6 linked regions of the Oryctolagus cuniculus genome follow. The protein of the gene in region 1 purifies or fractionates together with the protein of each later gene. This does not show direct contact. Links are inferred from orthologs where the notes say so. Each region holds a gene or a part of one and is shown in the gene's direction. Other genes may lie near its edges. The genes, in order: PRPF40A, SNRNP70, RNPS1, RBM25, SF3B1 and NCBP3.

Region 1 (4,257 bases):
ACGCGGCTGCCTGCCTGCCTGCCTGCCTGCTCTGGGGACGGCGGGGGCTGAGGGCTGGACGGAAGCGAGAGCCACACCCGGGCCCATCTGAACTCTGGGCAGACTCTTCGGCCCGGGCTGCGATACCTTTTACGACCAGGTAGACGATGGCGAGCAGAAAGGCGAGGAGGATGGCGAACAGCAGCGCACACAGAATAGAAAGGACCTGAACCGGCCACTGCCGAGCCGAGGTTCGGCTTCCCGCAGCAGCCGGGAAGATGCCGTTGCGCTTCTCCGGCAGCACCGGCGACCCATCTCCATCTGGCGGGAACAGAGAACCTCTCCTGGACTCCGACGACGGCCCAGCCGAGAACTCTGCCCGCAAGTCGCGGGCCACTTGGGTGCATCCCTCCTCGTCGTCGACTTCGCCCACACCCCAGCTGTCCCCCTGAGAGAAGGCGGAGTACTGCGGCGCCGCGAAGGGCACCGGCGTGCCGAGGCGGCGGCGGCGCGGCGCAGAACGCCTCCCGCTCTCCACAAAAGACATGGCGGGAAAGACGGCGAGAACCGCCGAGGTCCAACGTCTCTCACTGGCCCCGCCCCGCGACCGCAACAGCCAATCAGCGGCAGGGCCCCGCTGCGGCCTCCACCACCCGGCCAGGCGCGCAGGGGTGCGAGAGGGTGGGCGGCGGCGCCGAGAGGGAGCAGAGGGCTCGCCGGAGAGGCTGGGCGCCTCGCGGCCGCGGGCCGATTCCGGGACAGCAGGCGAGAGCGGGCGCAGGGAAGCGTGCAGGGACAGGCAAGCCGAGGCCCCAAATAGCCGAGTTGCCTCTCCCCAGCGTGCTTAGTCCCGGCCACCGGCGCGTCGCCACCCAGGCAAGCGCGTGCCCCAGCAGCCCCACAGTCAACACCGGGTCCTAAAGCTCGCCCAGGCCCTTCCGATACACATTCAAGAGCCTGCGTGCTTTTCCCCCTCTACGCTCACACTGCTCCCCAGTCTGCTCCTCCTAACCCGTCGCTTTGCCTCGGGAGTCCATCCCGCTCTCGGCGTGTTTCTCCCCACCCACAACTTCCCTCCCAGCGACTCGGCGCGCTCTGCGCCGCTGCAGGCAGAGCTCCCTTGCTCTGGACGCCTCTTCGCTAGCCCGTCCCTCCCCGCCCCTTCGCCTCCCACACAGCGCGCGCACTGGCGCGCATCCTGCCCCAGCTACCGCTAACGCTGGAAGCTGCTTACCCCGCCCCCACCCCACTCCACCCCACCCCACCCTACCCTCTTGGGGGCGGCCGCAGGTTTGTGGCGCGTACGTAACTCGGGCGGGGGAGATGGTGAAGGCGGCGGGCCCCAATACCCCACCCCTACGCAGTGAGGCTTTTGGAGCTCAGGGAAGATAGGGCACGGTAGTCTTCCTCCGCCGAAAGGAAGTTGGTAGAGTTTTCCAGTCAAAGGACTCGACGCGGAAACTTCCTCTTGTCCCTCCTCTTCCCCCCCTTCCCGTGCACGGGACGCCGAGTGAGGCTGAGGCTCAGAGCCAATCGCCGCAGAAGTGCGAGTCGGCGGCGCACTGCGATTGGACAGCGGAGAAGCCTGTCATTTTATTGGCCCCGCTGAGCCCGCCCCATAGCTCAGGGCATCCTTTAACCTTTGGCCCCAGCGGGCGCCAGCCACTCAGATCGCTTCTTGTTGGTATGTGTAGCGGCAGTGGCCGCCGGCCGAGCAGTCTGAGCCCGACGATGAGGCCGGGGACGGGAGCCGAGCGTGGAGGCCTCATGGTGAGTGAAATGGAGAACCAACCTCCCTCGCGGGGTCCTGGGGACGGGGAGCCGAGATTGTCCGGCTCCAACCTCTGCTCCAGCTCTTGGGTTTCCGCTGACGGCTTCCTGAGGAGACGGCCCTCGGTAAGGGATCGGTGGTGTAGGGGGAAAGCGGCACAATGAAAAACGGAGGCAGACAGGAAGCGTACTCCGAAAGGAGAAGAGTGGAGTGGACGAAGGAAGAACTCCAGATGGTGGGCTATGTCCCGAGGGAGAGAGACGCAGGGCAGGGCTGCACAAAGAGAAGTATGTGGGACCTTTGAAGTTCCCAGTGGGCTTGGCCTAGACAGATGCGCGGTGAAGGTGCTGGCAGGCCTTGGGCGGGGCGAGCGTCTCGGAGCCGAAGGCCTGGTTTAGCAGAGGCTTGATGTCGCTAAGACTGCAAGAAGCTGATTTGTTTGCACGCGTAGTGGTGGTGGTCTGCGGCGGGAGGAGGGGGTCTCTGGGATAATTGGCTGGGGAGAATTCCCTGGTTTAAAAGCCAGGAACAATGGACACATAGGAAGAAAGTAGTGCGTTAAATGCGCAGTGAAATAGTTGACTTGGTTGTTTGCATTTAGTGTCTGTGAGTGACAGAAACTTAAGTTTTCGGAGATGTGTTTTCGGGAGAGGAACTTTTACCTGTGCTGAAGCTTAGGTTAGGAAATAGTATGTTAGGCATGAAGTGGCTCTGACAACCCATCCTGTGCATTCTGTTAAGACAGGTTTGCCTCGAAGTGAATTTGACAAATTCAAAGTCTTTGAAGTGTCAAATTAGTGGCATTGTAAAATGACAGCTGGCTTTTTTTTTTTATATCTATGTAAAACAGGATAAAGATGTGATTTTTTTGACCATAACTTTCTAAGTAAGCATTGAATATGTATTTTCCAAAACCAGCAAGCAATTCGGTAGATGATTGAATCAGTGCTTAGTGAAGGGGGGTGGGGGGACCAAGCTGATTCAACCCTCCAGGATCATTTTTCACCTTTTCCACATTGTTATGGAATGTGCAAGTTCATTATACTACAGTCATGCATCCCACAGTAGCCTAATATAGGCCACTACAGGTAAGAGATTTCTTGAAATGAGATTGCTGAGATGCTTATTAACTTGGTAATTTTCAAATGCTCATTATTTTTCAGATGGGGCACCCTGGCATGCATTATGCCCCAATGGGAATGCACCCTATGGGTCAGAGAGCAAATATGCCTCCTGTACCTCATGGAATGATGCCACAAATGATGCCCCCTATGGGAGGGCCACCAATGGGACAAGTAAGAACGTTATGTTTTTGTTTTGTTTCCTATTTGTTGGTGCTTTTTTGCCTCAGGTATTGTGTCGACATTTTAGAATTTTAAATCAGTGCCGTACTTGTAGCTGGTTGAGGATTAATTTATGCCCAGATAAAGTTTTCAGATAAAAATGTTGCATCAAGACTGTAATCAAATTTTGAATGTAATGAAAAAGTATTCTGTATCAAAAAATTACTACCTCAACAAAATTTAAGAGTTTTTTTTCCTAAGTAACTGTGTATCTAGGCTTTTTATTTAATGTCCTTTTCTCTCTTGAGCATGTCAATTGGAGTTAACTTTTTAAGAGTAAATATTGTATGAAATGTCAACATAACTTATTTCAATGGACTATGTAAGTGTATAGACTCTGAAAATAGCGATTGTTTAGGCCTTTGACTTGGAATGAATTTTACTGCTTAATATCTTCTCCTTTGTCTGTTGTGGGGTGGTGAGGGAGGGTTGGGAAATTTGCTCTGTAATTCTGATTCTTCATAGAGCAGTGTCAGGTAGTTCGTTTTCAACTTATACTGTTTTTGGTTTTTAAAAAAATGCTTTTTGCTTCTGCACTCCTACTTTTGAGCTGTCCCTTCCATCTCTAACATAAATTGTAAATGGATTGTTTTGTAGGAGTGATTTAGAGCAAAAGGTTTATGCTGACTCAGCAGCATCCGTAGACCTAAGTTAGTTAGCTTGATTTAGTAGAACTAAGTTTCTAGAGAAGCATCCAATAAAGGTAACAGGTTTAGTTACCATGAATAATTTTGTGCTTTATGTTATTAGGTTCTTTAATACACACTCTTTAGGTTGTTGGGTCATTTCTATTTGAGTATCTCAGTAAATCAGCAACAGCTTAGGCTAACAAGAGTATTTTGGAAAGCCAGTAGGTATGATCTTTTGTTGATTAGTATTATTTGATATGTAAGTATTTAAGCCTTGATGGTTAGAGTTATTGGTGAAACTGCAGTGAAAAAAGGAGCATGTTATGTGTCTCTCTCTTTTTACTTAACCTTACAAGGAGAAGGGCTCAATATCAAGTGGTTTTCTTCTTTTTTATTTGGAATATAGCCCTAAATTTTGTGTAAAAATCTTTATTCATAGGCACCAGATCCAAAAGATTCTGCCAGCAGGAGTTCTTTAAATAAGACTCTTTTATTCTGTTACTCTAGAATAACACAGGTTTTAACACTCCCTAGG
Region 2 (3,500 bases), on another chromosome or scaffold:
TTTCTGGAGGCTTGTCAGAGTCTGCTCAGAGAGCAAGCGTTCTGTGATGCTGCCTCAGCCGTCTGAAAGCCACAGAGCTTTCCCAACTCCCCAGTCCACTCCTGTGGCCCCTGCCTTGGGCCAGTGCCCAGATAAGCCCTTTAGCCAAGGATTGCTAATGGTAGGGTGAGAAGCAGAGGGGGAGCAGAGTGCGCCTGTGTGCACACACAGGCTGGGCTTCTGGCCAACCTCTCTGCTACCTTCTCAGTTATGATTTTTTTTTGCATTTTTAATTATTTATTACAGAGGGAGGGAGGGAGAGAGAGAGCAAGGTCTTCCATTCAGTGGATCATTGCTCAGTTGGCTACAGTGGCCAGGGCTGGGCCAGGCCGAAGCCAGGAGTTAGGAGCTGCATCTGGGTCTCCCATGTGGATGGCAGGTGTTTGATCAGTCTTGAGCTGCATGGAAGTGGGGCAGCTGGAACTCCAACTAGCACGTACAGGGGGTGCAGGCGTCCCAGGCCTGGCTCTCCTGCTGTGCCGTTACGCAGGCCTGTGTGTCTGTTTGCTATGTGAAAAGCACAGTGACGGGGGTCTTCTGTTTCGTTCGCAGCTTCTAGGGCTAGACCAGGCCAAAGGCAGGAGCCTGGAGCCCCACCCAGGTTCCCACATGGGTGGCAGGAGCTTGAGTACTCTGTCTCTCTTTGTAATATTTTAAACAAATCTTTTAAAAATTAGTAATCACTTTTTAAGTGGATGATGAGTGAGCTGGTAGAGATGGAGGGATTTGAGCATGGAGAATCACAAGTGTTGCAGGGACACAAAGGATTATCTTGGAGTTTCCGTAAGTCCTGCAGGTCGTCCTTGACACTTGGCCCGGTTTACGTTCTTGGAGGATTTCCTTCATGACTTCAGTCTATGACTTCAGTCTGCGCTGGGCCTCCTGCAGGGAGCTCTGCCCTGGCGCGTTGCCCCCACTGTGCAGTCTGAGGCTCCCGTGGGAGGCAGGAGCCATTGTGTTGACGTCACCGACTTTGGGCATCAAATCTCCTGCAGAGTTTTTTTTCCTTGTAATTATTTTCACTCCTTTTTATTTTATTTTATTTTTAAAGATTTATTTTATTTATTTGAAAGACAGTTATAGGCCGGCGCCACAGCTCAACAGGCTAATCCTCCGCCTAGCGGCGCTGGCACACCGAGTTCTAGTCCCGGTCGGGGCGCCGGATTCTGTCCCGGTTGCCCCTCTTCCAGGCCAGCTCTCTGCTGTGGCCAGGGAGTGCAGTGGAGGATGGCCCAAGTGCTTGGGCCCTGCACCCCATGGGAGACCAGGAGAAACACCTGGCTCCTGGCTTCGCATCAGCATGGTGCGCCAGCCGCGGTGGCCATTGGAGGGTGAACCAACGGCAAAGGAAGACCTTTCTCTGTGTCTCTCTCTCTATCTACTCTGCCTGTCAAAAAAAATAAAAAAAAAAAAAAAAAAAGGTAAGAAAGACAGTTATATAGTGAGATCTTTAATCTGCTGGTTTACTCCCTAAGTGGCCAGAGCTGGGCTGGTCCAAAACCAGGAGCTTCTAGGTATTTCACGTGGGTGCAGGGACCTAAGCACTTGGGCCATTTTCCACTGCTTTTCCAGGTGTGTTAGCAAGGAGCTGGTTGGGAAATGGAGCAGCCAGGACTCGAACTGGCGCCCACATGGAATGCCGGTGTTGTAGGCGGTGGCCTTGTCCACTGTGCTGCTAGGAAACAACACCGACCCCATTTTCACTATGTTTTAAAGGCAAAGAGATCTTTTGTTTGCTGGTTCTTGCCCCAAATGCCTGTAATATCTGGGGCTAAGCCAGGCCAAAGCTGGGAGCCCAGAACTCAGTCTGGAAACTGTGTGGGTAGCACCGGGTTCAGCCACTTGAGCTGTCACTGCTGCCTCTCAGGGTGTGTGTTAGCAGGAAGCTGGGTCAGAAACGGAGTAGCCAGGAGTGGAGCCAGGCACTCTTGATAAGGGATGCAGGTTTCCCAGTGGCAACGCAGTCACTGTGTAACACCCATTCACCTCCGAACTGAGGTTCAGTACGTGCCTGGCTGCTTGCTTTCTCTTTTTTCTTTTTCTTTCTTTCTTCTTTTTTTTTTTTTACATTTATTTATATGAAAGAGTTCCAGAGAGGCAGAGAGAGAGGGATCTTCCATCTGCTGGTTCACTCCCCAGATGGCTGCAACAGCTGGAGCTGCGCCTATCCGAAGCCAGGCGCTTCTTCCAGGTCTCCCACACGGGTGCAGGGGCCCAAGGATTTGGGCCATCTTCTTCTGCTTTCCCAGGCCATAACAGCTGGATAGAAGTGGAGCAGCTGGGACGCAAACTGGCGCCCATGTGGGATGCCGGCCCCTCTGGCTGCTCCTTTAAGGGTGGCTCCCCGGTGGCCAGGTGGGACAGTGTCAGGGCTAGGGTCGGTGTCGGGTGTGGTGACAGCTCTTCTCACTGGCTCCTCCTAGTGGCCACAGCGCATTGAGGGAAGCAGGGCTTGGACTGCCCTCCTGGGGCTCCCTGGGGCTGCAGCTGTAGTGTGTCCAGTGGGCAGTGCAGGCCCACGTGACAGCTCAGCTGGGTTATGGCTGCCTCTGCCGAGAAGCCCCCTGGGATCCCCTGGTCCCTTAGGGCTTGCTGGTCTGCAGCGGCTGTTAGACCTAGTGTGAAGGAAGCCGGACCTGTGGTGTGGCTATCTCCGTCTACGAGTGCTGTGCTGCAGAGACGCAGCGCAGCAGCGCCCCTCGCTGGTGCCAGGTCGCTGCCGGTGTCCTGCTTACAGAGTGTTCTTCCTGCACAGGGGACCCTCACAATGATCCCAACGCTCAGGGGGACGCCTTCAAGACCCTCTTTGTGGCGAGAGTGGTGAGTCCCCAGCTCCTGGCCCGGGAACCCCAGGCTGCTGACAGGCTGGGTCTGGGGAAAAGGACGGCAGGGTAGTGCTGGGGGTGCTCCCGGGCTCTGGACAGCTCCCTCCGCCCACTCACCTTCCTGTTTGTCTCCTTGTAGAACTACGACACGACAGAATCCAAGCTCCGGAGAGAGTTTGAGGTGTATGGGCCCATCAAGAGAGTAAGTGCCGGCCGGGGTGCCTACAGGAGGGGACAGTGGCCTGGGAGGGAGCAGGCTGGGTTCCAGTCCTGAAAGTGCCTCAGATCGTCCTGGCACCTGACTGCGCTTCCGGGGGCCATGGAATTGGGGAGCAGGAGTAAAAGTCAGGCCTGCTCGCTGAGCGGAGGCAGCAGAGCACACCGACATCTGTCAGTGAGGCCGTCGGTGCACAGGCAGGCCCGTGCGTCCACACGTTGTCTGGCTGCTATTGCGGAAGACCAAGTTGTGTGACCTCAACCGGAGCTGTACTTCCTGGGTCATTACAGGAAATGCGCGCAGCTCCTGCTGTAGAGCAAGGCTTCAGACTTAGTTGCATTTCTTCATTTAATTTAAAAACCACTTGAGTGCTCTTTGTTGCCATGATGAAGTACCTGACACTTAACAGAGGGGGGGAC
Region 3 (4,046 bases), on another chromosome or scaffold:
ACAGGCACAGGTTCTGAGCCCGGGCCCTGGGGGCCAAGGCCTCCTCCAGACGGCCCATGGCCAACACCACCCCCGCCAGGGGCTGCCCTCCTCTGCCCCTGAAGGCGTGCAGAGAACTGAACCTCCCGCCTGTCCCTCGAATGTGTCCAGACTGGACGGGCTGCCAACCCCGCCCCAGGGCAGCACACGCCGGAGGCTTCTGTGCCCAACTCCCTGGACACCCCTCGGCCCCGGGTGAAGGGTGAGGGCAGGGTGACCCTCCTGGATGGGGAAGGGAGTCTCACGCGCCGGCAGACCCCGACCGCTGCCCCCCTCGGCCCCGGGTGAAGGGTGAGGGCAGGGGGACCCTCCTGGATGGGGAAGGGAGTCTCACGCGCCGCAGACCCCGACCGCTGCCCCCCTCGGCCCCGGGTGAAGGGTGAGGGCAGGGGGACCCTCCTGGATGGGGAAGGGAGTCTCACGTGCCGCAGACCCCGACCGCTGCCCCCCTCGGCCCCGGGTGAAGGGTGAGGGCAGGGGGACCCTCCTGGATGGGGGAGTCTCACGCGCCCGCAGACCCCGGCCGCTGCCCTCCTCGGCCGCAGGTGAAGGGTGAGGGCGGGGTGACCCTCCTGGATGGGGAAGGAGTCTCACGCGCCGGCAGACCCCGACCGCTCTAGCGCTCCCCCCACCCTCCCGCACCCGGGCTGCCTCTCCGACTGCCCGCTGGTTGCTTTCTGCAAGGCCCTGGCTTGCACCCGCTGCTCCCCCCAGCCCTCCTGGCTGCCAGCTGGGGCGAGGGCGCCGTCCTTCCTTCCGCAATCCCACAGAAGCCCCCTCCCCAGCCCTCCCCACTCGCCGCTCCTGCCAGGCGGCTCCGACCGCGCCTCCCGGGCCTTCGCGCCCGCCGCTCCCTCTGCAGCAGTGGGGTTTGACCGCACTAACCCACGTCCTGCGCCGGCCCATCCCTCCGAGCCCTCTAGGCCGGCCTTGGAGAGGCTACCGCCCAGAAGACCCCCGGGCGAGAAGACCCGCCGCCCCCAGTGCGCACGCGCTCGCAGAGGCGCGGCCTCGTCAGCCCCGTCCGTGCCGGCCCCGGGGCCCCGGCAAGTCGCCATGCCCGCTCCGGGAGCTCCGGAAAGGGGCTGCCCAGGGCCGAGAGCCCTCTTGACCGGGGAGACACAGCCAGCGACCCTCACGGCGCTCCCCACCCTCGTCCGCTGCCCCGAACGCTCCGCAGCTCGCGCCCATTGGCTGAGGCGTTTTCGTCATCGCTGTGCGCCGCACGGCGGCACGTTCCCGCGCCTTCGCTCTGACGACAGAAAAGCGCCGGCCTCGGCGGCTGAGGAGAGCGGGAGGAGGTGGCGGCGGCGGGAAGATGTAAGTTGGGGGCGGAATCCGACCGCATCCGAGCTGCAGGGGCCGCCCGCCAGGCCGGGAGGGTCGCATCGTGCAGCCAGCCGGCTTCTCAGCCCCGCGATGGCGCGGCGGCCGGGCGGCGCGGCACGGAACTCGGAAAGAAAGAATGTGGCCCGGGGCGGCGGAGTGGGAGGCGTCGAGGCCGCGGCCCGGAAGTGGTCGGGGCCGCCGCCGACGGAAGAGCCGCCCGGCTGGGTCCGCTCCGCGGCGGCGCTCCTGCGGGCTGGGGAGCCGGGCCCTCCCTGCGAGCGCGGGGGGCGGCGGGGCCGCTGTGTGGGACGCCCGGGAAGGCGGCGCGCGCTGCCCGAGGGGCGGCTCCAGCGCTGCCGGCGGGTCCCGGCGCCGTGGCGAGGTCGGGCCGGCGCGGCGCGGGGCCGCCTGCCGCCGTGCTGTTGGCGTGGACCGTGCGTGAGGCCCAGCTCCGGTGCGGGGAGGGGCCCCTTCTGCTCGAGACGTGACTAACTGTTCTCTCCTCTCTCTGGCTGTTGGACGCGCACCTTCCGGAGGACGGGGGCGGTCACCAAGGTCCCGCGCCGGGCCCTGGACTTGTGGACAGAGAACCTCAACCTTTGCTTTCTAGCTGCCGACCGCGCCCGGCAGAGCGAGCGCGCCCCCCGTGGCTCTTCGGTGTTCGTCCCGAGGACACCGGCGGGGCTCGTCCTCGGGCGGGGCGGGGCGGGGCGGGGGTCGCCGCCCTGGCCAGCGAGGTGGCCGCTGCTCACGGGGCCCGCGGCGCAGCCAGCCCGGGCTGGGGTTCAAAGGACGACTCGGAGGGGAAAACGGGAAATGCAGTTCCCGCTGGGTGTGGGGTGTCCAGTGTTTTCTAAGTGGATTTACCTGGTTTGTGACGGCGCTACAAGGCAGTTCCAGGTTACTCCTGGCGCGCTCGGTAGTGGCCGTGCTGCCCCGAGTGATCCCACGGTGGGGCCCACGGACACTGTTGAATTCAGGAATTGGGAGTGTGTGGAACTTCGGAAAATTCATGGAAAGGGGAGTTAAAAGATAGATTTTGGTGCAAAAAAATGAAACCTACGCATGTTCTTTGCAGATAGGTATTTTCCATGACCTTTCTGAGGCTCCCGGTGCGGGGAGGAGAGCCTCTGGAAACAGCCCTTTTCATGTTACTTCTGTTGGGCCTCAACCAGGTGCGGGGTCTGTTTCGTGAGTTCATTGGTTACTGCCTTTGAAAATGCTGGAAGGGGGGTTGTTGTCACCGCATTGCTGGTAACAAACTGGCGACCAGAGGCCTTAGAGAGGACAGTGGCTGCTGAGGGTCCACAGCGAGGCCGGGGCTCTTGGCTGAGTTACACCCAGGGGTTGTCCCAGGACACCAGCCTGACCGGGTGTCCGTGGTCCCTTATGGTTTGGAGGCAGCCATTCTGAAGAGGGCAGCCTTGGCAAGGAGCTGCCCGGGGATCCTCTGCCCTCTGCCGCTCGTTGGAGTGTCCACAGCCGGCCCTCGTATTTCCTGGGTCAGAACGTGGATCGGCATCACGTGGAAGCGCCTGCCCAGCTGCGGGGCTGCGGCCGCGCGGTGTGCGGTGGGATGAGCAGCCGCGCCTGCTCACAGGTCACGCGGTTGTGCAGAACCTCGTGGAAAGCCTGGGTGAGAGATGAGCGGTTTTGAGTAACTGGTTAACGTGACTGCTCACCGTGTGCTGGCGTCAGGCACCTGGCCAGCCCTTAAATGAAGTGGAGCATCTCGCCCAGTTTCAAGTGTCAGCTTCCCCCCGCACACACACTTGCGTCTTTTTAAAAGTTCTAACCATACAGAAAAATTGAAGTAATGTTTAATGCTCAGTAGCCACCACTGGGGCTCTGCGGTCCCTCTGTTGGGTTTCTTGGCGCGTGTGGAGCCACCATCTCGTTTTTTCTTTAAATCACAGCCTCGTGCGAATCTTTCCCCCTGCACACGTCGTGCTTAGCACTACAGTTTGCTATTGACAACTTGAGAATCGCTTTCACTACTCTCTAAGTGTTCGTGCTTGGGTAGTAAATGTTTTGGTGCTGATACCAACCACTTCTGAAACGATGTTTGTCTCCAGTCGTAATCCAGTGTGTCCTGGAGGGGAACCACAGCAGAGACGAGGCCTGATCCGCCAGCCACACTCGCGTTAGGCTTCCCTGTCCTCCTCGTGAGTGTGCTGCTGAGGGCCCGTCACCCTTAACGAAACTCTAGGATAAAGCGACGGGGACCACCCGCCGCCTCAGGGAGGAGCTGGGTGCCGGCTTGACCTGTGCCCCGTGGGGAAGTGGTGGCTGCCCCGCATGCCCTGGTCCTGTGGGTACCTGCTGCTTGCTGTGTTCCTGACTGCCTTCGTGTGTGCTCAGCTTTGTACTGCAAAGTTAATTTGTTGCCTTGCCAATTCGTTCACTCTCTACATCCTTTTATCTTGTTATTAGGCTGCTCTTTGGCGTAAATTGCAATCGATTAGGGACCGTTTCTCAGAGTCGAGTTAGAAGTGAGAGCTCAGATAAGTGAGGCCGCCATTGCCGCTTTGAACACCTCAGAAGGGAGGATGGATTTATCAGGAGTGAAAAAGAAGAGCTTGCTAGGAGTCAAAGAAAATAATAAAAAGTCCAGCACTAGGTAATCCTCCTGCCAGATTTTTCTAGTGCTACATCGGGGGTGCTCACCGCTAGGGACC
Region 4 (3,500 bases), on another chromosome or scaffold:
ACGAAGCACAGGAGAGCAGGAGGAAAGAGAAGAAGACTCATCCTTTTTATAGACTAATTTTAAAATACACATACTGTTTTGCAGTTTCTTAGAAACTTGGATTTCTACTTTTGCTCCATCTACTGTGTTGCTGGAACTGGAAGTCCAGTGCTCAGTCTTCAGTGGGCGTTAAAATTCCTTTCTTTCTTCCTGTCCTGATAAAGCTGTTACTGAGAATTTAACCAGGGTGTAATTTTTTTGTTTCAATGAACTGTATTATTTCATATGTATACTTATGTTTAATTAAGTATACTTTTTAGTATTAATATATATTCTGCAATTTTTTTTTTGACAGGCAGAGTGGACAGTGAGAGAGAGAGACAGAGAGAAAGGTCTTTCTTTGCCTTTGGTTCATCCTCTAATGGCTGCTGCGGCCGGCTCGCTGCGGCCGGCACACCGTGCTGATCAAAGGCAGGAGCCAGGTGCTTCTCCTGTCTCCCATGGGTGCAGGGCCCAAGCACTGGGGCCAGCCTCCACTGTACTCCTGGGCCACAGCAGGGAGCTGGCCTGGAAGAGGGGCAACCGGGGCAGAATCCGGCACCCCGACTGGGACTAGAACCCAGTGTGCCAGCGCCGCAAGGCAGAGGATTAGCCTATTGAGCCGCGGCGCCGGCCTGCAATTTTGTTTTATTACTCTGAATTAAATATTTGAGAACTTTCCTAGCAAGCCAAAATTCTATTTCTTGATTTCTATATTACTTGATCACTAATGAGGTTGATTTTTGTTTTGAGGTTGATTATTTTCAACATGCTTATTAGTCTTGTAGTTTTGAGGAGAATTAGCAATTTGTTTTTTCCTGTTGTACACTGTTATGTAATTAGTTGGGATTTCAATTTACTGTAGGGCATTCTTTAATCCTTTAAATATATTTAGGTTTGTTTTCTGATACACAATTAACTGTAACATTGACTTCAGAGCATAGTTCAGGATTTGAGGCTGGGCCCACAGTCTCTCTCTGATGAGTATAGAAGTGCTTCCAGTAGTGCTTTGTGGTGTGTGTATCCCCTCTTTCCTGTGTGTCTAGAGGAGCACAAAGACTGACTGAGTTAAAATCTTCTGTTTACATAGAGAAAAGAGCAGAGATCGTGAAAGGGAACGAGAGCGGGAACGGGAGAGAGAACGGGAACGAGAGCGGGAGCGAGAACGAGAGCGAGAGAGAGAGCGAGAGCGGGAACGGGAGCGTGAGAGAGAGAAAGACAAGAAACGGGACCGAGAAGAAGACGAGGAAGATGCATATGAACGAAGAAAACTTGAAAGAAAACTCCGAGAGAAAGAAGCCGCTTATCAAGAGGTAAATTGAGGAAGTGATTTTAGTTTTAAATCCTGGTGCACTTAGGTAAGTTAAAATTTGTAGAACTATAGAATCATTGTATGAAGTGCTAAAGCATGGGATCTTTTTTAGCGCCTTAAGAATTGGGAAATCAGAGAACGGAAGAAAACTCGAGAATATGAAAAGGAGGCTGAAAGAGAAGAAGAAAGGAGAAGAGAAATGGTAAGTTCTAGATTAAAAATAAATTTAAAAATCTGATCACCTTGTTACTCTGAACTACAGATAACTTTATAATTGATAGAGGCTTCTCAGTTGTTAGGTAATTTAATTCTATTCAATTTCAAGCAATATTGAGACAATTTAAGTACACAAAAATATTTCTTACAAATGTTTGCTTTTAAATTTTTTATATATTTTGATAGGAAATGTGTCATAAATGAATATAATTCATAAATTTATACAGTATTCTTCTATTAAGAAATCTACAAGGAACTGGCATTGTGATGATGCAGCAGATTAAGCTGCTACTTGGGTTTCCTACCTCCCACCTCCCGTATTGTTGCAGGTTTGAGTCCTGGCTACTTTTCCAATGCACTATCAAGCTAAAGCAAGCTCTTTTTTTAAGATTTATTTTATTTATTTGGCAGAATTAGAGAGAGAGAGATCTTCCATCCGCTGGCTCACTCCCCAAATGGCCTCAGCGGCCAGAGCCTAGCAGATCTGGAGCCAGGAGCTTCCCCTGGGGTCTCTCAATTGGATGCAGGGGCCCAAGGACTTGGACCATCTTGTACTGTTTACCCAGGCCATAGCTGAGAGCTGGATCAAAAATGGAGAGCCGGAACTCAAACCAGTGTCCATATAGCTCTGGCCCTGACTCAGGCTCTTTTATAAGGTTGCAGATAAAATCCATCAGAGTTCTCATGTATTACAGTGCCAGTGTGAGTCTTGGCTGTTCTGCTTCTGATTCAGTTTCCTGCTATTGTCCCTGGGAAAGCCAGGATTGATGGTTCAAGTACTTTGACTGTTGTCACTCTCATAGGCGACCAGGATGGAATTCCATGCTTCTGCCTTTGGCCTCTCTCAACCCCAGATGTAGGCATTTGGGGAGTGAACCAATGGATGGAAGATCTCTGTCTGTCTGTCTCCCATTTCTCTATTGTGGGGAGCAACTCGGACTAGACTAAGTTACTGGAATTAAGACTTATTCTATGCATCTGCTCTCCCACAATATGGCGCTGAGAAGGGAGTAACAGCTTCTACACAGCTGCCTCCAGTTCAACCAATAAACTGTAGGACTTGCTCCTGATTGGAGAGCAGCGTACTCGGCGTGTGGGTAGCAGAGTTGGGATTGGTGGAAGAGGACTATAAAGGAGGAGAGAGACAACATGCACCAGGAACATCTATCTGAAGGAACACCTGTGCAGCCCCCGAGAGAGCCGGCCGGCGGTGTGCCGCTCCCCTGCGGAAGTGGGGAAAGTGGCAGGGGGAACCGCCCTTCCACGGAGGTGGAAGGGTCAGTAGCCAACCCGGGAAGAACCAGCAGCAATCCCGGGGAGGGCCGAGCAGACAAAAGAACAGCACAGGGTCCTGTGTCGTTCCTCCACGAAGAGGGGGAGCGACATAATGGTGCCGTGACTCAGATGTGAAGCCTAGGCAGGGTTTAGTGTCGTTCCTCCGCGAAGACGGGGAGCGACATAATGGTGCCGTGACTCGGATATGAAGCCTAGGCAGGGTTTAGTGTCGTTCCTCCACGAAGAGGGGGAGCGACATCTATCCCTCCCTCGCTCTCTCCATCCATCTCTTTATCTCTGCTTTTCCAGCAAATAAAATCAATAACAGTTAAGAGAATTTGGGGCCGGCACTGTTGCTCCCTTGGTTAATCCTCCGTCTGCGGCTCTGGCATCCCATATGGGGACCAGGTTCTAGTCCCAGTTGCTCCTCTTCCAGTCCAACTCTCTGCTGTGGCCTGGGAAGGCAGTGGAGGATGGCCCAAGTGCTTGGGCCCTGCAGCTGCGTGGGAGATCAGGAAGAAGTACCTGGCTCCTGGCTTTGCATCGATGTAGCTTTGGCTGTAGCGGCCATTTTGGGGGTGAACCAACGGAAGGAAGACCGTTCTCTCCGTCTCTCACTGTCTAACTCTATCAAGTAAATTAAAAAAAAAAAAAAAATCTGCAAAGTTAGTTTTTTTAA
Region 5 (4,254 bases), about 46 Mb from region 1:
TGAGGCAAAAAGCTTGATGTTCTTTTGATTTTTTTTTTGTTTAGCAGGTTTTTTTTTTTAAGATTTATTTATTTTATTTGAAAGTCAGAGTTACACAGAGTGAGAAGGAGATGCAGAGAGAAAAAGAGGTTTTCCATCTGCTGGTTCACTCTCCAACTGGCAAAAATGGCCTGAGTTGTGCTGATCTGAAGCTAGGAGCCAGGAACTTCCTCTAGATCCTCTCACGCAGGTGTAGGAGCCCAAGCACTTGGGCCATCTTCTACTGCTTTCCCAGGTCATAGCAGAGAGCTGGATTGGAAGTGGAGCAGCTGGGACTGGAACTTGTGCCCTAGTGGGATGCCGGCACTGCAGGCAGCAGCTTTACGCTTTGATAAGCCACAGCAAGGGCCCCTCAATAATTTGCATAACAATCTTTCTTATCCTGACCCCACATTCCCTATTAGATTAACTTCTTTTTTAAAAATTTTATTATTTATTTGAAAGTCACAGTTACACAGAGAGAGGAAAGGCAGAGACAGAGAGGTCTTACATTGATAGTTCACTCCCCAGATGGCTGCAATGGCTGTGCAAAGCCAGGAGCCAGGAGCTTCTTCCAGGTCTCCCATGCAGGTGCAGGGGCCCCAGCACTTGGGCCATCTTCTACTGCTTTCCCAAGCCATAGCAGAGAGCTGGATAGGAAGAGGAGCAGCAGGGACTGGAACCAGCACCCAAGTGGGATGCCAGTGCTTCAGGCTAGGGCGTTAACCTGCTGGGCCACAGTGTAGTCCCCCCTATTAGATTAACTTCTGTTTGAACTAATAAAGAGATGGAAATTAAACATCTGAAGTTTTAAACTTATTAAATCGATTATTTCACAGATGCTGATAAAAATCCTATGTGTTACTGAAGTTTCCACTAAGTATTTATTCAGACTGTGTCTATCAAACAGCAAGCTAACCTTCTGCTGGCTCTAACCTTGATCCCTACCTGTTTACCTAGGCTGCTTCCTAGACCCAACCTCCCTCCTTAGTTCTTCTGTTTTTTTCAACCCCAAAGTCCAAAAATAGTGTCAAGTTATGACAGCATAATTCATATCTAAGCATAAAGAACACCACTGTATTCTGACTTACTAAAGTTCCTGATTTAGGAGTAACATTTAGGGCAATTGTATTCTAAGAACCTATAAAGTGAAAAAGCTTTATAATGGTGACAGCATTCAAGTTGTGCAATTTGGTAACTGTGTGACTTTGCACAATTTACATATCTCCCCATTCTAATTTTTTTTGTCTTCAATGGTATTAGCAATAGCTTGCCTATTTTACTGGACTATTTGTGAAGTAGTTTGGCAACGTCAGTTGGAAACGAAACTCCTATAGAGACAGCAGGCAATTATTGAGAAAAGGGCAGCAGGAAAAATGACCTTGAAAGTTAGCGTGAGGTGTGAGACTGTTAAGACTGTCTCCTTAGCTAAGCACGGCAACAGCTGAAACATGCTAAGAAAGCTTTTCTCCAGCCCCGAGACGCCTTTGAATTTGGACAAAGGTAATTGAAAGGCTGAGGTCTCTTCCAGCTCCGAACCCATAGTTTCCCACAGGGTCTGTTCTTATCCACCACCGAGTAATCTACCCACTCACTGCCTCCCTCACCCCCAGGCAGAGTTTTCCCGGGTCACAAACTAAGACCCGCCCCCGGACTAATCCCGGTTCCTCCCACACCCACAATGCACCTCGCGATTCCATCTAGGTGGCTGCTCTGTCACGTGTCATTCGACGGAGCGCGCTCCCGCTTGGCGCACGCGCAGAGAGCAGTCCCAGCTATTTTTCTCCGTGGCGGCGGCGACGAGCGGAAGTGCTTGGGAGCGCCAGTTCCGTCTGTGTGTTCGAGTGGACAAAATGGCGAAGATCGCCAAGACTCACGAAGGTAAGCAGGCTCTCCCGTTTACGTGCCCTCTCTGCCGCCATCCTGCTAAGACTGCCTTTCCGAGCCTCTGACGCTCCTTTAGTTTTTTTGTAGGGGCCGAGTCCGCGCTTTGGGGGTCTGAGGCGTCTCCTCGGCGCTAGCGGCGCAGCCCACTGCCCCGCGTAATGGCGTCCTACTCGTACACCCACGACAGGCGCTTTGTTCCGTGTTTGAATGCAGCTGCTTGAGGGTTTCTTCTCTTCCCTGACCAGAAGCCTCGTTTAAGCGGGTGGCTAAGGAGGATTCCAGGCCGACGGATAGGGGAAGCGTGGGAGGAGAGTCCCGCTCACCTCTTGGTACTGTGGTCGGCATAGTTTGTGCAGGGAGTCAGGAAAGCGCTGAAATAGGCAGCCGCTTTTCGGGGAATGTTAAACCGAGGCCGCAGACTCCTAACCCTGGGTAAAATGTGTGTCTTCAGGTGTCTGGGTTACTTGATTATTTTTCTTGGAAGAAATGATCCGGTGTTTTTTGCCTTCCTTAATAATTTATAGTATATTTATCTTTTTCTTTGGTGGCTGATTATTGGAGGAGCATGTGCAAAAGGAAAGTCATATTATATTGGCTGGTGACCGAAGTTTTGAAGATAGTTGATCCTTTTCTAGTATACAGGGTATACAAAATTAGGCGAATGTTGGGAGTAGAGTGAAATCCATTAGGGAGTGTCCAGAGAATAGGAAGTGGGGATTGGGAATTTAGAACTGCACTCCTTGATTTGGCTTTGGATCCAAAATTTACACTGTACACAAGGCTTTCAAGATGACTTTTATTTCATGTCGTTATTTATGTATGTCGTTTCTTGGTGTGTGGTTTGGTATTGGTCTGTGAGAGGTAAGCGACTCAGAGGCCATCAAACATTCTAGTGTGATGGGGTACACTGACACGTATTTATCTGAATTTTCTTAAGAGGCCAGATGACTGCTTAGATAGAAATGTAAGCAGTGTGTTCTGCGAACTTGGGTAGGAGTGATGGATTTATGGTTAGGGCTGTTTTCACAGAAGAGGTGACGTGTCCCCAGTCTTGAAAGGATCAGTCAGTTTTAAATTAGAGGAGGACGTGTGAACCTGAGAGAACTGTTAACAAGGCAGTGCGTCTGAAAAGTATGTTGGAGAAGTCTGCAGTGGCAGGAAAAGAGGTGCAAAGGGGAAGTAGAAGATGAATCTGGAAAGGTTGGTTAGGACCAGAATGTGGATGGAACTGAGGCTCAATGCTTTCTAAGCCCAGAACTGTTCTTAGGCCTTAATCCTTTGTTTTTAGACTATCTCAAAATACCTTTTGCAAAATAACCAGAAAATATAAAGATGTTGCAAGTTTTGTTCATTCAGGAGTAGATTACTCATTTGGGGGTCACTTAGCAGCGTTGATTGCTTATTTATTGGTATCTTCAATATCTCATAACCTTGGTCAGGAAAATCAAAAATTGCAGTTGGTTTTCCTGCATGTTAGAAACCCAGCTAAAAGGCCTTTTGATTGCAAATCGTTGTTTTATTTGAGATTATGCTATCAATGTAAATTAAGTAATGCCTTAAAGAAAATAGTGGAAAATTTGGTATAACATCTGAGTACTTTCTGTGAAAATTATCACTGTGTGTGATAAGTTGCAGGGTGATAACTGTTAAATAGAAATACAGTATTTGCATAGCTTCTCGCTCTCTTCCTTGTGGTATTTTTCTGCAGAACTCTAGTTCTTTGTGCTTTAGCTATTTTCACTTGTCAAGCGATTTCTTATAAGCTGGAAATTAGTTTCTTTTGGGGTTGGGGTGTGCTATTGTAGTATTCAATATATTTGTATTATTTCACTTAGGATAGTTTTTCTATTAAAGTTTTCTCATACTTTGAGGTTGTTTACAGGAATTCTATCTTAGAATACCCAGTAGGTGCATTATGTATGCTTAAATATTTAATCAACATTGAAAGATACATACTGGAAGTATTAAAAGAGTTTCACAAACAAAAGGTACTTAATTGATCTTTGAAAGTTTGTGTTGGCTTGACTATATGTATTTGGGTGAGATAGATGGGGAAGCAAGACTTTACACTTTGGGAACTTCCTCAACTGAGAGGATGAAATATTAGGTTAGTGTCATCGTGGAAGGCTTCCCACCAGTGGCCACAGATACTGGCTCTTTCCTCCAGGTCATATTATTTCTGTGTTTTGGGAAGGTCACAGGTTGTAGTGTGAAGGATGACCTGGAGTCAGCAACCATTCTTAGGCTATTGAAATAGAGAGGATGACTTAGATTGAATCCCACTGGCGTGGCCTTTAAAAATATGTAATATTTATTTTTGTTTCAAGTAAAAAGATTATACAATATTTA
Region 6 (3,500 bases), on another chromosome or scaffold:
CTTCAACCTGGCCTAGCCCTGACTGTTGAGGCCATATGGGGAGTAAGCCAGCAGGTGGAAGATCTCTCTCTTGTCTCTTCTCTTTCTCTGTAACTCTGTCTTTCAAATAAATAAATTTTTTAAAAAGACATTTAAAAATAGATTATTTTTTTTTAAGATTTATTTATTTATTTGAAAGACAGAGTTGCAGAGAGGTAGAGAGAGAGAGAGAGAGATCTTTCATCTGTTGGTTCACTCCCCAGATGGCCACAGTGGCTGGAGCTGTGCCTGTCTAGAGCCAGGAGCTTCTTCCAGGTCTCCCACACGGGTGCAGGTGCCCAAGGACTTGGCCATCTTCCACTGCTTTCTCAGGCCATAGCAGAGAGCTGGATCGGAAATGGAGCTGCAGGGACTCGAACCTGCACCCATATGGGATGCCAGCACTGCAGGCAGCAGCTTTACCTACTATGCACAGTGCTGGCCCCAATAGATTATTTTTAAAAAACAGACTGTGCTACTACTGTCTACTCTCTACACTTGTTTCCTTCCTTCCTTCCTTTTTTTTTTTTTTTTTTTCCAGATAGAGTTAGACAGTGAGAGAGAGAGACAGAGAGAAAGGTCTTCCCAAATGGCTGCCACGGCCGGCACAGCCAGGAGCCAGGTGCTTCTCCTGGTCTCCCATGGGGTGCAGGGCCCAAGCACTTGGGCCATCCTCCACTGCCTTCCCGGGCCACAGCAGAGAGCTGGCCTGGAAGAGGGGCAACCGGGTCAGAATCCGGCACCCCAACCGGGACTAGAACCCGGTGTGCCGGCACCACAGGCGGAGGATTAGCCTAGTGAGCCGCGGCGCCAGCGTCTACACTTGTGTTCATTTTTTGGTGTGTATGTTGACTGATGGCAGTCTGTAGCTGGATGAGACCGCAACAGTGAATTTGATCTGCTTTCCAGAAATAAAACCAGGGCTGACACTGTGGCATAGCAGGTAAAACCACTGCCTGCAGTGTTGGGAACCCACATGGGTGTTGGTTTGAGTCCTGGCTGTTCCGCTTCTGATCCAACTCCCTGTTAATGCTCCTGGGAGAGCAGTGGAAGGTGGCCCAAGTGTTGGGGCTCCTGGCTCCTGGTCACCCCAGCTATGGCCATTTGGGGAGTGAACCAGGGGGTGAAAGATCTCACTGTCTCTCCCTCTCTCTGTAGCTCTGCCTTTCAAATGAACAGATAAATCTTTTAAAAAGGAAAATAACCATTTGGGCACAATGTGATATTTTATTTTACATTTTATTTTAGGTAATGTGGTTTGGCTAGATGAAATGACAGCCACACGAGCCCTTATTAATATGAGTTCTCTGCCAGCCCAGGATAAGATAAGAAGCAGGGACGCCAGTGAAGACAAGTCATCTGAGAAAAGTAAGAAAGGTAACTGAGCACAAAGGTGGGACCTGTGGCCTAAAAGTCCTGTTTTGCACAGTCTTGTTTTGGGCTTTGGGTTACAGAGCAGAGCATTGAAACATCCCGTCAATGAGTGTGTCTGATGTTAGCTTGAATGCTTTGGACCCTCAGTAGAAAGGATGTTCCTTTACCATGATATAAGATGGACTGACACTAAGGTTCATCGTCTTCCTCACATTCCATTTTAGATAAGCAGGAGGACAGCTCAGATGATGATGAGGCTGAAGAAGGAGAAGTTGAAGATGAAAACCCAAGTGACGCAGAGGTTAGTAATAGGGCGAAATAATGTGTAAGGTTTTATTGTGAAAGTTTCTTACTGTGCTAGCTTTTACCATAAAACCTTTTGGGGGTGCATCAGGCTCTTGGCCTTTAAAATAACTGTAACAGTTCATCTTGAGATCTAGAGTAGTGCTCACACTTCTGTGTCAAAGAAAATGGCTTTATTGAGAAGTACTTTAAAGTATTTCATCATTAAGTGATGGTATATTTACTAATGATTTGTATACTATTGTTGGAAATATTTGAATATTCATTTCTAAAGTATTTGCCAAGTTCCTACTGTATACCAAGTTCTAGGTGCTAAAGATATGGAATGAAGCAAAACAAAGCTCATTACCCTCTCAGAACCTACTTTCTGGTGGGAAGTTGGACAGTGCACAGGTCCTTAGATGATGGACCGTCAGGAGGGAGTGAGTGCAGTGCAGAAAAGGGAGGGTGGGGGCAGAGGATGATGGGACTGTTGCTTTAGACAAGGTGGTGTGGGAAGCCTCTGACCTGGAAATTCTGCAGAGGAACTGGTGCTGCAACGCTGATGGATTCAGTGCTGTCTTGATGGTAATTTAGCTACTAAGGAAATACTAGTGACTAATTTTTATGTTGAAAATGTGTTTCTCTTTTGTTAAGTTGGACACATTGTCTCAGGTAGAAGAAGAGTCTCTGTTAAGAAACGATCTTCGTCCAGCTAACAAACTAGCTAAAGGAAATAGATTGTTCATGAGATTTGCTACAAAAGGTAAATTTGATACTGATTTTTACTTTTAATCAAATGATTAATGATTGAATGGCGTCTTTCTCTTCTGATTAGACGTTAGGTCAGGTCATCTCAAAATTCCCTTAAAAGTGTGATATTCTGTGCTGATGAAATAACAGCTTGCTGCCTGAGTAGGAATTTGTGCCTTTGAAAGTGAAAGTTAATTGTGTATTTTCGTGACTTCTGGCTGAAGTAGATTATTTCTGTTAAAGCTGGTTTACTCTAAATGCTTCTTAGCCAGTTACCATCTGAACTTTGAAAACTTTAAAATTAGACTTTGTAAATTTTTTTTGAAAGATTTATTTATTTATTGGGGGGCTGGTGCCATGGCTCCCTTGGCTAATCCTCTGCCTGTGGCACCGGCATCCCATATGGGCACTGGGTTCTAGTCCCAGTTCCTCCTCTTCCAGTCCAGCTCTCTGCTGTGGCCCGGGAGGGCAGGGGAGGATGGCCCAAGTGCTTGGGCCCCTGAACCTGCATGGGAGACCAGGAGGAAGCACCTGGCTCTTGGCTTCGGATCGGCATAGCTCCAGCCATAGCGGCCATCTAGGGGGTGAACCAACAGAGGGAAGACCTTTGTCTCTGTCTCTCTCTCTCACTGTCTTTAACTCTACCTGTCAAAAAAAAAAAAAAAAAAAAAAGATTGATTTATTTATTTGAACGTCAGAATTACACAGAGAGAGGAGAGGCAGAGAGAGAGAGAGGTCTTCCATCTGCTGGTTCACTCCCCAGATGGCCGCAATGGACAGAGCTGTGCTGATCTGAAGCCAGGAGCCAGGAGCTTCTTTTGGGTCTCCCACATGGGTGCAGGGGCCCAAGGACTTGGGCTATCTTCCATTGCTTTCCCAGACCACAGCAGAGAGCTGGATTGGAAGTGGAGCAGCCGGAACTAGAACCGGCACACATATGGGATGCTGGTGCTTCAGGCTGGGGCGTTAACCTGCTGTGCCACAGCGCCAGCCCAGACTGTAAATTTTTTTTTTTTTTTTTTTTTTTTTTTTTTTAGTAAAAGGCAAAAGATTTATTCGATCTGAAGAGAAAC

Evidence for each region.
Region 2: the proteins of PRPF40A (region 1) and SNRNP70 fractionate together in Homo sapiens (co-fractionation; 3 studies listed by BioGRID, with this or other methods). This does not show direct contact. The link is inferred for Oryctolagus cuniculus from reciprocal best matches to the Homo sapiens genes PRPF40A and SNRNP70.
Region 3: the proteins of PRPF40A (region 1) and RNPS1 purify together in Homo sapiens (affinity purification with mass spectrometry; 4 studies listed by BioGRID and IntAct, counting the BioPlex papers as one, with this or other methods). This does not show direct contact. The link is inferred for Oryctolagus cuniculus from reciprocal best matches to the Homo sapiens genes PRPF40A and RNPS1.
Region 4: the proteins of PRPF40A (region 1) and RBM25 purify together in Homo sapiens (affinity purification with mass spectrometry; 5 studies listed by BioGRID and IntAct, with this or other methods). This does not show direct contact. The link is inferred for Oryctolagus cuniculus from reciprocal best matches to the Homo sapiens genes PRPF40A and RBM25.
Region 5: the proteins of PRPF40A (region 1) and SF3B1 purify together in Homo sapiens (co-immunoprecipitation; 3 studies listed by BioGRID and IntAct, with this or other methods). This does not show direct contact. The link is inferred for Oryctolagus cuniculus from reciprocal best matches to the Homo sapiens genes PRPF40A and SF3B1.
Region 6: the proteins of PRPF40A (region 1) and NCBP3 purify together in Homo sapiens (affinity purification with mass spectrometry; 3 studies listed by BioGRID and IntAct, counting the BioPlex papers as one, with this or other methods). This does not show direct contact. The link is inferred for Oryctolagus cuniculus from reciprocal best matches to the Homo sapiens genes PRPF40A and NCBP3.

Annotation. Positions count from the first base shown.
Region 1 is NC_091434.1:89,171,337-89,175,593, forward strand, and holds the start of PRPF40A (pre-mRNA-processing factor 40 homolog A), read left to right. Parts: upstream 1-1,457; 5' UTR 1,458-1,665; coding exon 1,666-1,875; intron 1,876-2,913; coding exon 2,914-3,045; intron 3,046-4,257. Other genes in the region: ARL6IP6 (ADP-ribosylation factor-like protein 6-interacting protein 6), read right to left, coding at 127-526.
Region 2 is NC_091449.1:8,216,266-8,219,765, reverse strand, and holds part of SNRNP70 (U1 small nuclear ribonucleoprotein 70 kDa), read left to right. Parts: intron 1-2,794; coding exon 2,795-2,859; intron 2,860-3,003; coding exon 3,004-3,066; intron 3,067-3,500. UniProt on the Homo sapiens protein: Component of the spliceosomal U1 snRNP, which is essential for recognition of the pre-mRNA 5' splice-site and the subsequent assembly of the spliceosome. SNRNP70 binds to the loop I region of U1-snRNA.
Region 3 is NC_091450.1:33,008,948-33,012,993, forward strand, and holds the start of RNPS1 (RNA-binding protein with serine-rich domain 1), read left to right. Parts: upstream 1-1,246; 5' UTR 1,247-1,357; coding exon of another isoform or gene 1,358-1,359; intron 1,360-1,384; exon of another isoform or gene 1,385-1,822; intron 1,823-2,081; exon of another isoform or gene 2,082-3,533; intron 3,534-3,801; 5' UTR 3,802-3,917; coding exon 3,918-3,988; intron 3,989-4,046. UniProt on the Homo sapiens protein: Part of pre- and post-splicing multiprotein mRNP complexes. Auxiliary component of the splicing-dependent multiprotein exon junction complex (EJC) deposited at splice junction on mRNAs.
Region 4 is NC_091451.1:19,255,732-19,259,231, forward strand, and holds part of RBM25 (RNA-binding protein 25), read left to right. Parts: intron 1-1,108; coding exon 1,109-1,331; intron 1,332-1,442; coding exon 1,443-1,532; intron 1,533-3,500. UniProt on the Homo sapiens protein: RNA-binding protein that acts as a regulator of alternative pre-mRNA splicing. Involved in apoptotic cell death through the regulation of the apoptotic factor BCL2L1 isoform expression.
Region 5 is NC_091434.1:42,821,141-42,825,394, forward strand, and holds the start of SF3B1 (splicing factor 3B subunit 1), read left to right. Parts: upstream 1-1,454; 5' UTR 1,455-1,469; coding exon 1,470-1,521; intron 1,522-1,722; coding exon 1,723-1,899; intron 1,900-4,254. UniProt on the Homo sapiens protein: Component of the 17S U2 SnRNP complex of the spliceosome, a large ribonucleoprotein complex that removes introns from transcribed pre-mRNAs.
Region 6 is NC_091448.1:49,093,509-49,097,008, reverse strand, and holds part of NCBP3 (nuclear cap-binding protein subunit 3), read left to right. Parts: intron 1-1,266; coding exon 1,267-1,395; intron 1,396-1,616; coding exon 1,617-1,693; intron 1,694-2,331; coding exon 2,332-2,440; intron 2,441-3,500. UniProt on the Homo sapiens protein: Associates with NCBP1/CBP80 to form an alternative cap-binding complex (CBC) which plays a key role in mRNA export. NCBP3 serves as adapter protein linking the capped RNAs (m7GpppG-capped RNA) to NCBP1/CBP80.